2 linked regions of the Canis lupus familiaris genome follow. The main gene of each other region encodes a partner of the protein of the gene in region 2 in a complex. Links are inferred from orthologs where the notes say so. Each region holds a gene or a part of one and is shown on either strand. Other genes may lie near its edges.

The links. Proteins that work in one complex are often made in the same cells at the same time.
Region 1: CIAO1 (region 2) and CIAO2A share a complex: the UniProt entries of both Homo sapiens proteins name them as parts of the CIA complex. The link is inferred for Canis lupus familiaris from reciprocal best matches to the Homo sapiens genes CIAO1 and CIAO2A.

The regions. Positions count from the first base shown.
Region 1 is NC_049251.1:29,006,264-29,010,840, reverse strand, and holds the start of CIAO2A (cytosolic iron-sulfur assembly component 2A), read left to right. Parts: upstream 1-1,441; 5' UTR 1,442-1,615; coding exon 1,616-1,745; intron 1,746-4,577. UniProt on the Homo sapiens protein: Component of the cytosolic iron-sulfur protein assembly (CIA) complex, a multiprotein complex that mediates the incorporation of iron-sulfur cluster into extramitochondrial Fe/S proteins.
Region 2 is NC_049238.1:34,685,240-34,690,080, forward strand, and holds the start of CIAO1 (probable cytosolic iron-sulfur protein assembly protein CIAO1), read right to left. Parts: upstream 3,166-4,841; 5' UTR 2,988-3,165; coding exon 2,849-2,987; intron 2,280-2,848; coding exon 2,131-2,279; intron 1,978-2,130; coding exon 1,866-1,977; intron 1,759-1,865; coding exon 1,670-1,758; intron 1,428-1,669; coding exon 1,226-1,427; intron 607-1,225; coding exon 519-606; intron 1-518. Other genes in the region: TMEM127 (transmembrane protein 127), read left to right, coding at 3,976-4,219. UniProt on the Homo sapiens protein: Key component of the cytosolic iron-sulfur protein assembly (CIA) complex, a multiprotein complex that mediates the incorporation of iron-sulfur cluster into extramitochondrial Fe/S proteins.

The sequences.
Region 1 (4,577 bases), on a different chromosome or scaffold from region 2:
GAAAGCTCCTCTACGTGCCCCCTACCTATGCCACGCACGGTGCTCTCTCATTGAGATTCAGTAAGTGGTTTTGATTGAGGTCTTTCCAAAAGGCGGCGGTAAAGTTTCATTCACTTTATTCTTTGGACAACATCTAGTTATTAGTTCATTCAAGAAACATATATTAAGCACCTACTGTTTGCGTTGGAAATACAGAAATAAAGAAGCTCCTGACCCACGAGGCACTTGATGGAGACACACACGTTAAATGAACAAATGCAACGGTGTTCGGTGCTGTAATCTGCTCTGGGCGCAGTGAAAGAGGGTATCAGTTACGCTTGGAGATGCAGGGAGGCCTCAGAGCAGGGGACATCTCGGCGTCCTAAATTTGGCTACAAGTAAGTCGGTGTTATATCCTCTTAGTTGCCGTGGAGTGGAGTGGGACAGATGGCAGGGAAATTCTTAAAACCCTGAACACAATTTCCCTGGGGCGTAAACTATTCCCTTGTTAACCTGGTGAGCCTAAAGTCTAAATCAGCCAGACAATAAACAAAACTTTATAAAGATAAACGGGATATGTTAGCATGGGGGTAATTCTGCAAAATGATCCTTCTCAATAGAGATGGCATTTGGTAGCAAAGTCTGGTTTGTTTCTAATCGCAAATCACTCAACTTCAGGGATTGGCTCCCTCCCAGGTCTATGAGCTGTTGGAGGGCAGAGGCCGCCTCCTATCTTTGTATTCTCGGCGTCTATAAATACACCACGTCTGGGAAAGTAAGTGCCCAATAAACGTTTGAGACTCGGAGGGAGGGGTAGGTAAAACTAACATCATCCACCTTGTTCCTGGCATTCATCACAGCCACGACCACCAGAGGACTTAAGACATTCTTTTTAGGATGATGATCTATTTGCAGTATGTCACTACTGGATATGCTGGGCCCAGGGAGAGCTCTTTCATTCTAAGTTGTCTCTGAAGGCGAATGGCAGGATCTTCAGGTGGCCGTTGGGGAATTGTGCTGACCTCCGTTCCTCTGAAACGGGAAAAATCAAAAAGCCCTCCCCGGCCCGGCACCTAATCACCTAATCAACCTCCTTGGACTCCCAACACCTTCCGTTTCACGGCAACGGAAACTCACTTCCGGCGTGACTAGGAAGTAAGAAGCGGCTCCCTCAGAGAAGTAACCGTAGACTCTTTGTACACGCTCCTCCAGCAAAAGAAATCAAGATCTCCTTTCCCCTACCTCTTGAGGATTCATTTTCAGCTCATCGGGGGCGCTGAATGAGGCAAACAGTGGCAGGTAACAGTTACCTATCGCCTCTTCCCCGACCTAGACTACAAATCCCAGAATACATCTCTGTCCCATATGTCCCAGCACGCAATGCACCTCACGTGCTGAAAGGAGTTCTCCCCGCCTTGTCCCGCCAAAACTGAGCAAAGCATGCTGGGGCTTGTAGTCTTTGCGGGGCCCTTCCCTAGGTCCTCCGCGCTGCTCCGGTCAGGTCCCGCCTATCTTCTGCTCCCCGGGATCTTTAGGCTTGTCTCGGCCCTTTTGAAGACCAGGAAGTTGATAAATTGCGAGGCCCGCTGCTGAGAGACGGTGGCTCGGGTGGGACAGTCGCCAGGGATGGCGGAGCATGAGGATGGAGCGGGTGTCCGGGCTGCTCTCCTGGACGCTGAGCAGAGTACTGTGGCTCTCCGGCCTCTTTGAGCGGGGAGCTGCCCGGCAGCCCCGGATCATGGAAGAGAAAGCGCTAGAGGTTTATGGTAATTAATTTTACCCAGGGCAGCGTTTGGCGTTGTACGTGGAGATGGGGGGTAACGGGAGCCTCACCAGAGGGCTGGGGGTGGAGACCGGTTTTTGCTGGGTCTCGTCCGAAGCCTGGGAAGCCTTTTCTCCGGGGTCCTGAGTCACGCAGGAATGTGGATCTAAGACCTGGGCTCTTCCTAAACCTGGCGTTAGCCGAGGCTGGAGGTCTTAATCACTTCATTTCCCTTGACGGCCTTACGCCCTTCTGACCTTGTCAAGACTTCTGGGCAGAGCAGGCGGTTAGGGTGCTTGGTTAGGAAGCAGAGCTGGCCTGATGGCACTGCTTGTCTCCTCCCTTGTGGTCCCTAGCCCCTAGACTCGCATTCCTTCTGCCACCACCGAGAGCACTGCTGGGGACTGGCCTAAGGTCATAGCCGCTCTCTTGGGGAAAAAAAAAAAAAAAGAGGATTCTCCCCCTCCAAAAGCCCCCGAGAGAAGAGGACAAAATGGGTTTCCCGTACCCCGGCCTAGACTTTATAGTTTCTTATCACTGCCAAGCCTGGAGTGCATAAACGAATACACACACACACACACACACACACACAGAGTCACGTATTTTTTTTAAACCCCTGGGACCATCTTCATTGTACACATGAGGAAACAGAAGGTTAGAATGGCCAAGCAACCACCCAGAGGTCACTCTGCCAGTAAAGAAAAAGCAAAAACCAAAGCCCGTGTCTTCTGATTCCAAATTTCGTGCACTTTACACCATTTCACAATTGCCTTATGACTCCTTGTTTTTGGACTTGTGTAGTACTGTTTTTGAAGGCTAAAAAGACTGGCTCTAACTAATGTTCAGTGATTCCTGCTGACTGAGGGTGAAAGATCTAACTATAAGGATACAAATAAAATGTGGGGAAGGATTATGGGCCAGTAGAAGGAGGCCAGGGTTAGAAAAGACCTTTGGAGCCAATCTAACTTACTCCTCTCTTGCTAGAGGCGGGACCTAACCCCAGCTAGATGATTATGAGTGTAATGATCTCTACAAAACTGACATATTCCTGTCCTATCAGACTTCTGTCTATAGCACCTCAGGACAGAAGGGCACTTGGGGGATACAGCTTTGGAAGGGGGATGATTCTTGTCCTAAAGTTTAATACCGGTGGAGACCTATACATGCAGAAATGTACTTTTTAAAACAATTTTATGTAGTAGAAGTCCATCAACCTGAAAAAGAAATCCGGAAATTCAGAGGAAGGTGAGATAGTAATCTCTGAGTCGGGGATCTGGAAAGACTTTATGGAGGAGTCACTTGAGTTAGGCCTTGAAGCGTAAGTAGGCTCTGGATATAAGGGGGGTAGAAAGTGTACTAAGCAGAGAAAAGGAAGCAAAAGTATGGAGATGACAACGTGTTAGGGAATGGCGGGGCCCCAGGATAGAGTTTGTGGTTAAAGAGTGGAAATGTGATTAAAAAAAATTGTTTTAGATACCAGGTCAGGATTGGATACTGAAGGTGTAAATGTATAAAGTATGTCAGTGCAGAACTATAGGAGAATTTTCATCAGGGGAGTAATGTGAGAAGAGCAACATTGCTTTCTTTCTAAAGAAATAAATCCAGATCTCTCAAATCAATAGAAAACCAGAGAAGTTTAATAAGGGATGAGACTTAATTTCAGCTTTAGGTAGCATATAAAGTGTATAATGCAGCTTGTGTGAATGAGCCTTAAAGAGAAAATGCCTAAAATGAGGGGCAATACATTTCTTTTTTAAAAGCTGTGTTTCTCTGAGCCTCGTGGGTGACAGAGCCTTGTGAAGAAGCAGCTTTGTCTTTTTTTTTTTTTTTCCTGTCTTCATTTTCAAATTCTGTGGCTAATCAAGTGATAAGCCTAGGAGTTAGTTGTTGGGGGAGAAGGTGGAGCTTGACTTGTTTCTCCTAGTAGCATTTCTGATTACAGGGGTGCTATCGGTAATAGAACAAAACCTTAGGCTTAAGACATCACGCCCATCCTGTGTGAACTCCCTGTGCTCTCCTTTCTACCTCCCCATTTCTCTGTTGTTTCCCCTTTCCCATCTTTTTCTACAACCTCAGAGGAGGAAGGAAATCTTGTCCTCTCTAAGGGGGACGACCCAGGCTCCCACATCCTTGGTCTCATTCCCTTCTGCTTATTTTGCCAGTCCCCCATCCTCCCTCCTATATTTTCACTCTTACTTCCTCTATTTGATCTTTCCCTTTGGGCTCTAAAACATGTTTCAGTTTCCCTTACCCTTGTCATCATTGTTCTAGCTTTGTCTAAATCCGTTATCCATCCTTTGCCCTCTCCCTTCCTTGCCAGAGCCTAGGACTGCATTTTCAGTTCCTGCTTACTTCCGCATTTGCAAGCTGGCTTCTGCCTTCATCTCTCTACTGAAACTGCTTTCTTACAGGTAATTTTCTGGGTGACAAATCCAAAGACTCATTTCAGCTCTCATCAACTTGGATTTTTCTGCTGCATTTAATGTTATTAATATCCCCACACCTCCATCTCTGCTTCTGGCTTTTCTTTCTCCTTCTGATCCCTAAGTTAGGTGCTTTCCATCAATCTATCCTTGGGTCTCTCCTTTTACATTAGTGGTTCTGAGATTGAGCTGCCCATAAGAGCAACCTGAAGAATTTTTTAAAAAGCTCAATGCCCAGTCCCTACTAGGAATCAATTAAATCAAGATCTTTGGGGGTTGGGTTTAGACATCAGTTTTTTTTTTTTAATTTTTATTTATTTATGATAGTCACAGAGAGAGAGAGAGAGAGAGAGAGAGAGAGGGGCAGAGACACAGGCAGAGGGAGAAGCAGGCTCCATGCACCGGGAGCCCGA
Region 2 (4,841 bases):
CTTAAGGTCACTTGTCATTCCCAAACAGTTGCTAATATAAAGCTTAGGTGCATATCAACTATTTTTATGGTTTGGATTATTTCCTATGGATAGATTCCTAGGGCCAGAATTGCCCTCTGACCACTCCTTTATGAATGGTACGGCTTCTCTAGACTCCATAAGGGTAGAGTCAGGGTTACCAACCCATAAAAATCCCAACCATGAACCCAATTTCTACAATAACTTTGGATGTACGAGATGGTGTGACACCCCCCCAAACACACACACACAAGGCTGATGCTGCTGTCACAGCCTGTGATCTTAAAGTAGGTACAGACCCGGTTCTGTAAGTCTGTTCCCTGCTCCTGGGACCCTCAGGCTGGCCAGCCCTAGGCCAGCATGGTACACAGTCTGCCTAATCTGAAGAAATGAAGGGGGCTGCTCTCTGTTTCCATGTGTTCCTAAAGGTGGTAGGAGCACAGGGTTTTGTCTTCTCTAAAAGCTCTCCAAACAGGTGGGTGTGGGGATGGAGGTCTTACCAAGCAACGTCGTAAATGGTCCTGGAGTGGAAGCCCGACAAAGTGCAGATACATTTCCAGCTTGGGTCAGAGCCGCTGCATGCCACCCCTGTACAACAGACTTCTCTGAGCCGAAGACAGGTCTGTGTCCGGGGGACCTCGGGAGGAGCTGCTAATCTGCCCTCCCTCACCCCTATCTTCAGTCATGAGTCCTCATCCTTACTGATCTGCCTTACATACTGTGGTCAGACAGGGATTTTTACAGCAGAATTCTAAGAAGGAAAGGTCCTGTTCCTTAAAAACTTTCCAGCAGACTATGTCTGACTAGTTAGCCTGCCTTTTAAGGCCACCAACCAGCCCACCCAGCCACCTGACCCACCTTATTACTCCCCAAATCCTTTATATCCTATGCTCCAACTAAAGGGATCATGATTCCTGGCATAAATCTAGGCTTTTGCACCTTCAATGCCTTTGCTCGTGCTGGTCTGTTTCAACCCAGAATTATCTTCTCGCGTTAAAATCCTATACACACTTTCAAGTTCAGATGGAATGGCTCCTTTTCCACACAGCCATCCTTGATTCCGCCAGCACTCGCTTGGGAGCCCTCTCGTGGCACATCTCTCTTACTACTCCAGTTTGCTGTGATTTATCTCTAGGTCTTAGACCCTTAATACACCGTAAACCTCATGAGAGAGGAGTCTCCTTTAGGTCTTGGACTGGCCACTCACCTTGCTCGTTGTCTGGTAGATACTGGCGCCAGATACGCACAGTACGGTCATCACTGCAAGATGCCAAGCGCTGGCCACTGGGGTCAAAGGCCAAGCTCCACACAGTGGATTCATGGCCTTCAAGGGTGGCACAACATACCCAATCATCCTCTTCCTCCCGGTAGAGCTTTACTGTATCATCATAGCTGGCAGAGGCTAACAGCTGGGGGAAGGAAGGGAACACAGCACTTGTCTATAGGGCTCAGGAAGTGCCTATAGTACCAGTGCCTCTCCCAGCTAGGACAGTCCCAGAGATCTGTCTCTATAAAGGGATTAATAACATTTTTTCATCACAGACAGAGATCCCCATAGAAGCCAGGTTGAGGCTGAAGAGCAGAGAAAGGCTGGGTACAACTCTCCACACCAAAATTCCTTCCCACTAAGATAACTTCACCCCACTCTTACCTCCTGGCTTGGGTGCCAAACCACATGCTTGACATCCTGTGTGTGAGAGTTGAGGACGCTGACACATTCATACTCATCTTCTTCATCAACTACGGGAAAGAAAAAGAAAGGAGCCCATGAGCTGACCTCGTCAGGGACACAGAGGGGGATGGCTGTTTACTGGTTCCCAACTCCATCGAGATGGATTTAGACTCACCTTCCCAGACCCACACACTCTTATCTCGGCTGCAGGTGGCAAGAAGGTTGCCAGAAGGGGCCCAGGCCACTGACTTGACCTCATTTTCATGGCCCTCTAGAGTAGTTACACACTGTGAAAAGAGAAGAGGAACAAGAATCAAGCAACTAAGATCTCTGGTGTTCTTTGCATGGGTACAGCCCAGCTAGCCCAGGTTGGCTCAGGTTCCTGAACCAGCCCTGGGGAGCAAAAAGGCAACAATCCTGCTCCCATCCACCCTGGTTACCTCAAAGTCATCCTGGTTCTTTTTCCAAATGCAAGTGGTAGCATCGAAACTGGCAGAGGCCAGGTAATTGCCACACGGGGACCAGGCCACCTTCCGCACGGTACGCTGGTGGCCTTCGGAAAGGACAGATTTGCAGATCCAGCTGTCACCTAAGAGCAAAGGACAGGCCAAGCTCTGGAGCTGGGTGCACAAGAAGGTAGAGAAGCACTATCAATCCGATGGGCAATGGGGGGATTATCTGGTCGGTGCATTTAAAAGCTTGCTTTCGGAAAGCTGTAACTACTACTTCCTCCACCTCCCCTGCAGGCATCGTTCTAAAACCACCAGAGGAGTCACCTACCTTATTTAAAACTGTCAATGGCTCCCAAATGCCCTCAGGATAAAATTTAAACTTCACATTGGGTCACAAATTACTCTGCAGATTACATTCCCTCCACCCTTCCCTCCTTTTCCGGCCTCAGCAAGTATCATAACTTCCTCAACAGTTCTGGCCTACTGACGTTTTTGCTTCCTCTACTCGCCAACTCCTTCACCCACAAAGTCTCTCCTACAGTGAATAACGTCTAACTCAAGGCAGCTTCTCACTTAGCCCCCTGGCCTGTAACCTCATTCAGGGTGGGCTTGTCCCAAAGGCCGCGGACTCCCCGAGCCCAGCACGCACAGCACGCGCACGCTGAAGCCCCGGCAGCAGGGGTGGTGCAGCCAGACTGGGCCTGACCTTCGGTGCCCCAGATGCGGACTCTACGGTCACCACCGCACGACGCCAGCAGGGTTCCCGTGGGGTTCCAGGCCAAGAACCAGCACCGGGAGTCCGGGTGCGCCGGGACGCGGCCTAGCAGCACCAGCGAGTCCTTCATGGCGGCCCCCAGCAGGATGCGGAGGAGGTGGACAGAGGCGACCGCGCCGACGGCGAGTCCGGCAGTGCAAACCTCCGCGACGCCCACTCAGGCCTCGGACGGCCTTCAGTCTCCGCCGATTTCCGCCCGAGGGCCCGGGTCTTCCTGGGAACTGAAGTGCCCGCGGCTGCGACCGTGCTGCCCTCTGGGAGTTGTAGTCAATTTGCCAACCCACCCTCCACCCCGCCGGCAGCCAGTACCGTGGGACAGCCTCGAACTACCAGTCCCGTGAGGCCCTGCGCGGGGAATCGGCGGCGCGCCCAGGCTGTGACGCGCGCGGGGGACGGGGCGGGGAGCCGGAGGAGGCGGAGGCAGAGGTGAAGGAAGCCGGAAGTGGATCGGGCCCGGGTCGGCCCGGGCGTTGCGGGTTTAGGGCCTGGGATCGCCCTGCCCCAGGCAGCTGCGGAACCCGTGACGGAGCGGAGCGGCGCCATACCGGCCCTGAGGCCTACTGACCGGTGAGGAACAGGGGTCGGTGTGGGGGAAGGTCCTTTCTGGCCAGAGGTCGCACCCCAGAGCACTGTTCCCAGATCCCGGATCCCCGATCCCCGCGGCCCAGCCTGGCCCCCGACCCCTGGGCACTCTTTGGCCGAGATCGCGGACCTGGGTCTCTCTCGCATCAGTAGCCGGTACCAGCACCCCCAGTCCGTTCTGCCCCCATCCTGGCCGGCTCGCAGCCCTCTCCGGGTCCCTATTCCGAACCTCCGCAGCCCCATTCCAGGGACCCCATCCCCGCCCCCCCCCCGACTCCCTGCAGCCCTCCTTTCTGTGCTGGGCCCCAGGTCCCACCCTCTATCCTCCCGTGTGGGCCCTGACAGCGTTGTGTCGGCCTCCCCTTCTGTGAACCCAGCGCCTTGCTCTCCTCCCCGGGACAGGCAGGCTCAGCGCGCCCTGCGGAGGTCCGCGGCGACCAGCAGCGACCGCGGAGCGACGGCGGGCGGCCCCGGGCATGTACGCCCCCGGAGGCGCAGGGCTGCCCGGCGGGCGCCGGCGGAGGAGCCCGGGAGGCAGCGCTCTGCCCAAGCAGCCGGAGCGTAGCCTGGCCTCGGCTCTGCCGGGTGCCCTGTCCATCACGGCGCTGTGCACTGCCCTCGCCGAGCCTGCCTGGCTGCACATCCACGGTGGCACCTGTTCCCGCCAGGAGCTGGGGGTCTCCGACGTGCTGGGCTACGTGCACCCGGACCTGCTGAAAGGTGAGGGCGTTGCGCGCCGGCCCTCTTCTTTCTGAGCGATAGGGCCTCCTTGCTGATAGCAGAATGTGGTGCGGGCTGGAGCAGAGATAGCCGGCGGCAGGCTCTTGGCTTGAAGGAAACAACCCCATTCCTGCCTGGTGTTCATGCCCACCAGGTGGCTCTCTTTGGGGTCTGGCCCCTCATTAATTCTGATGTTATTCAGCCAGGCACCTACTTCTCACGCCATGCTAATATGGACTGCTGCTATTTTAGGATACTGCTGGAGGAAGGGCGCTATACAGCGGTATGTGGGGAACAGATAAGGGTGCTAGGCATCACAATTAGCTGTCCTCCTTCTAAGGAGCGTATGGGATATAGGAAGGTTTCTTTGGGCAGCCTGATGGAGGGAGGAAGAGAACTTTTAATGTGGCTAGATTTTAAAAGATATTTTGGGAGATCCCTGGGTGGCTCGGCAGTTTAGCGCCTGCCTTCGGCCCAGGGCATGATCCTGAGTCCTGGAATCGAGTCCCACATTCGGCTCCCTGCATGGAGCCTGCTTCTCCCTCTGCCTTTGTCTCTGCCTCTCTCTCTCTGTGTGTGTGTCTCTCATGAATAAATAAATAAAATATTTTAAAAAAAAGAT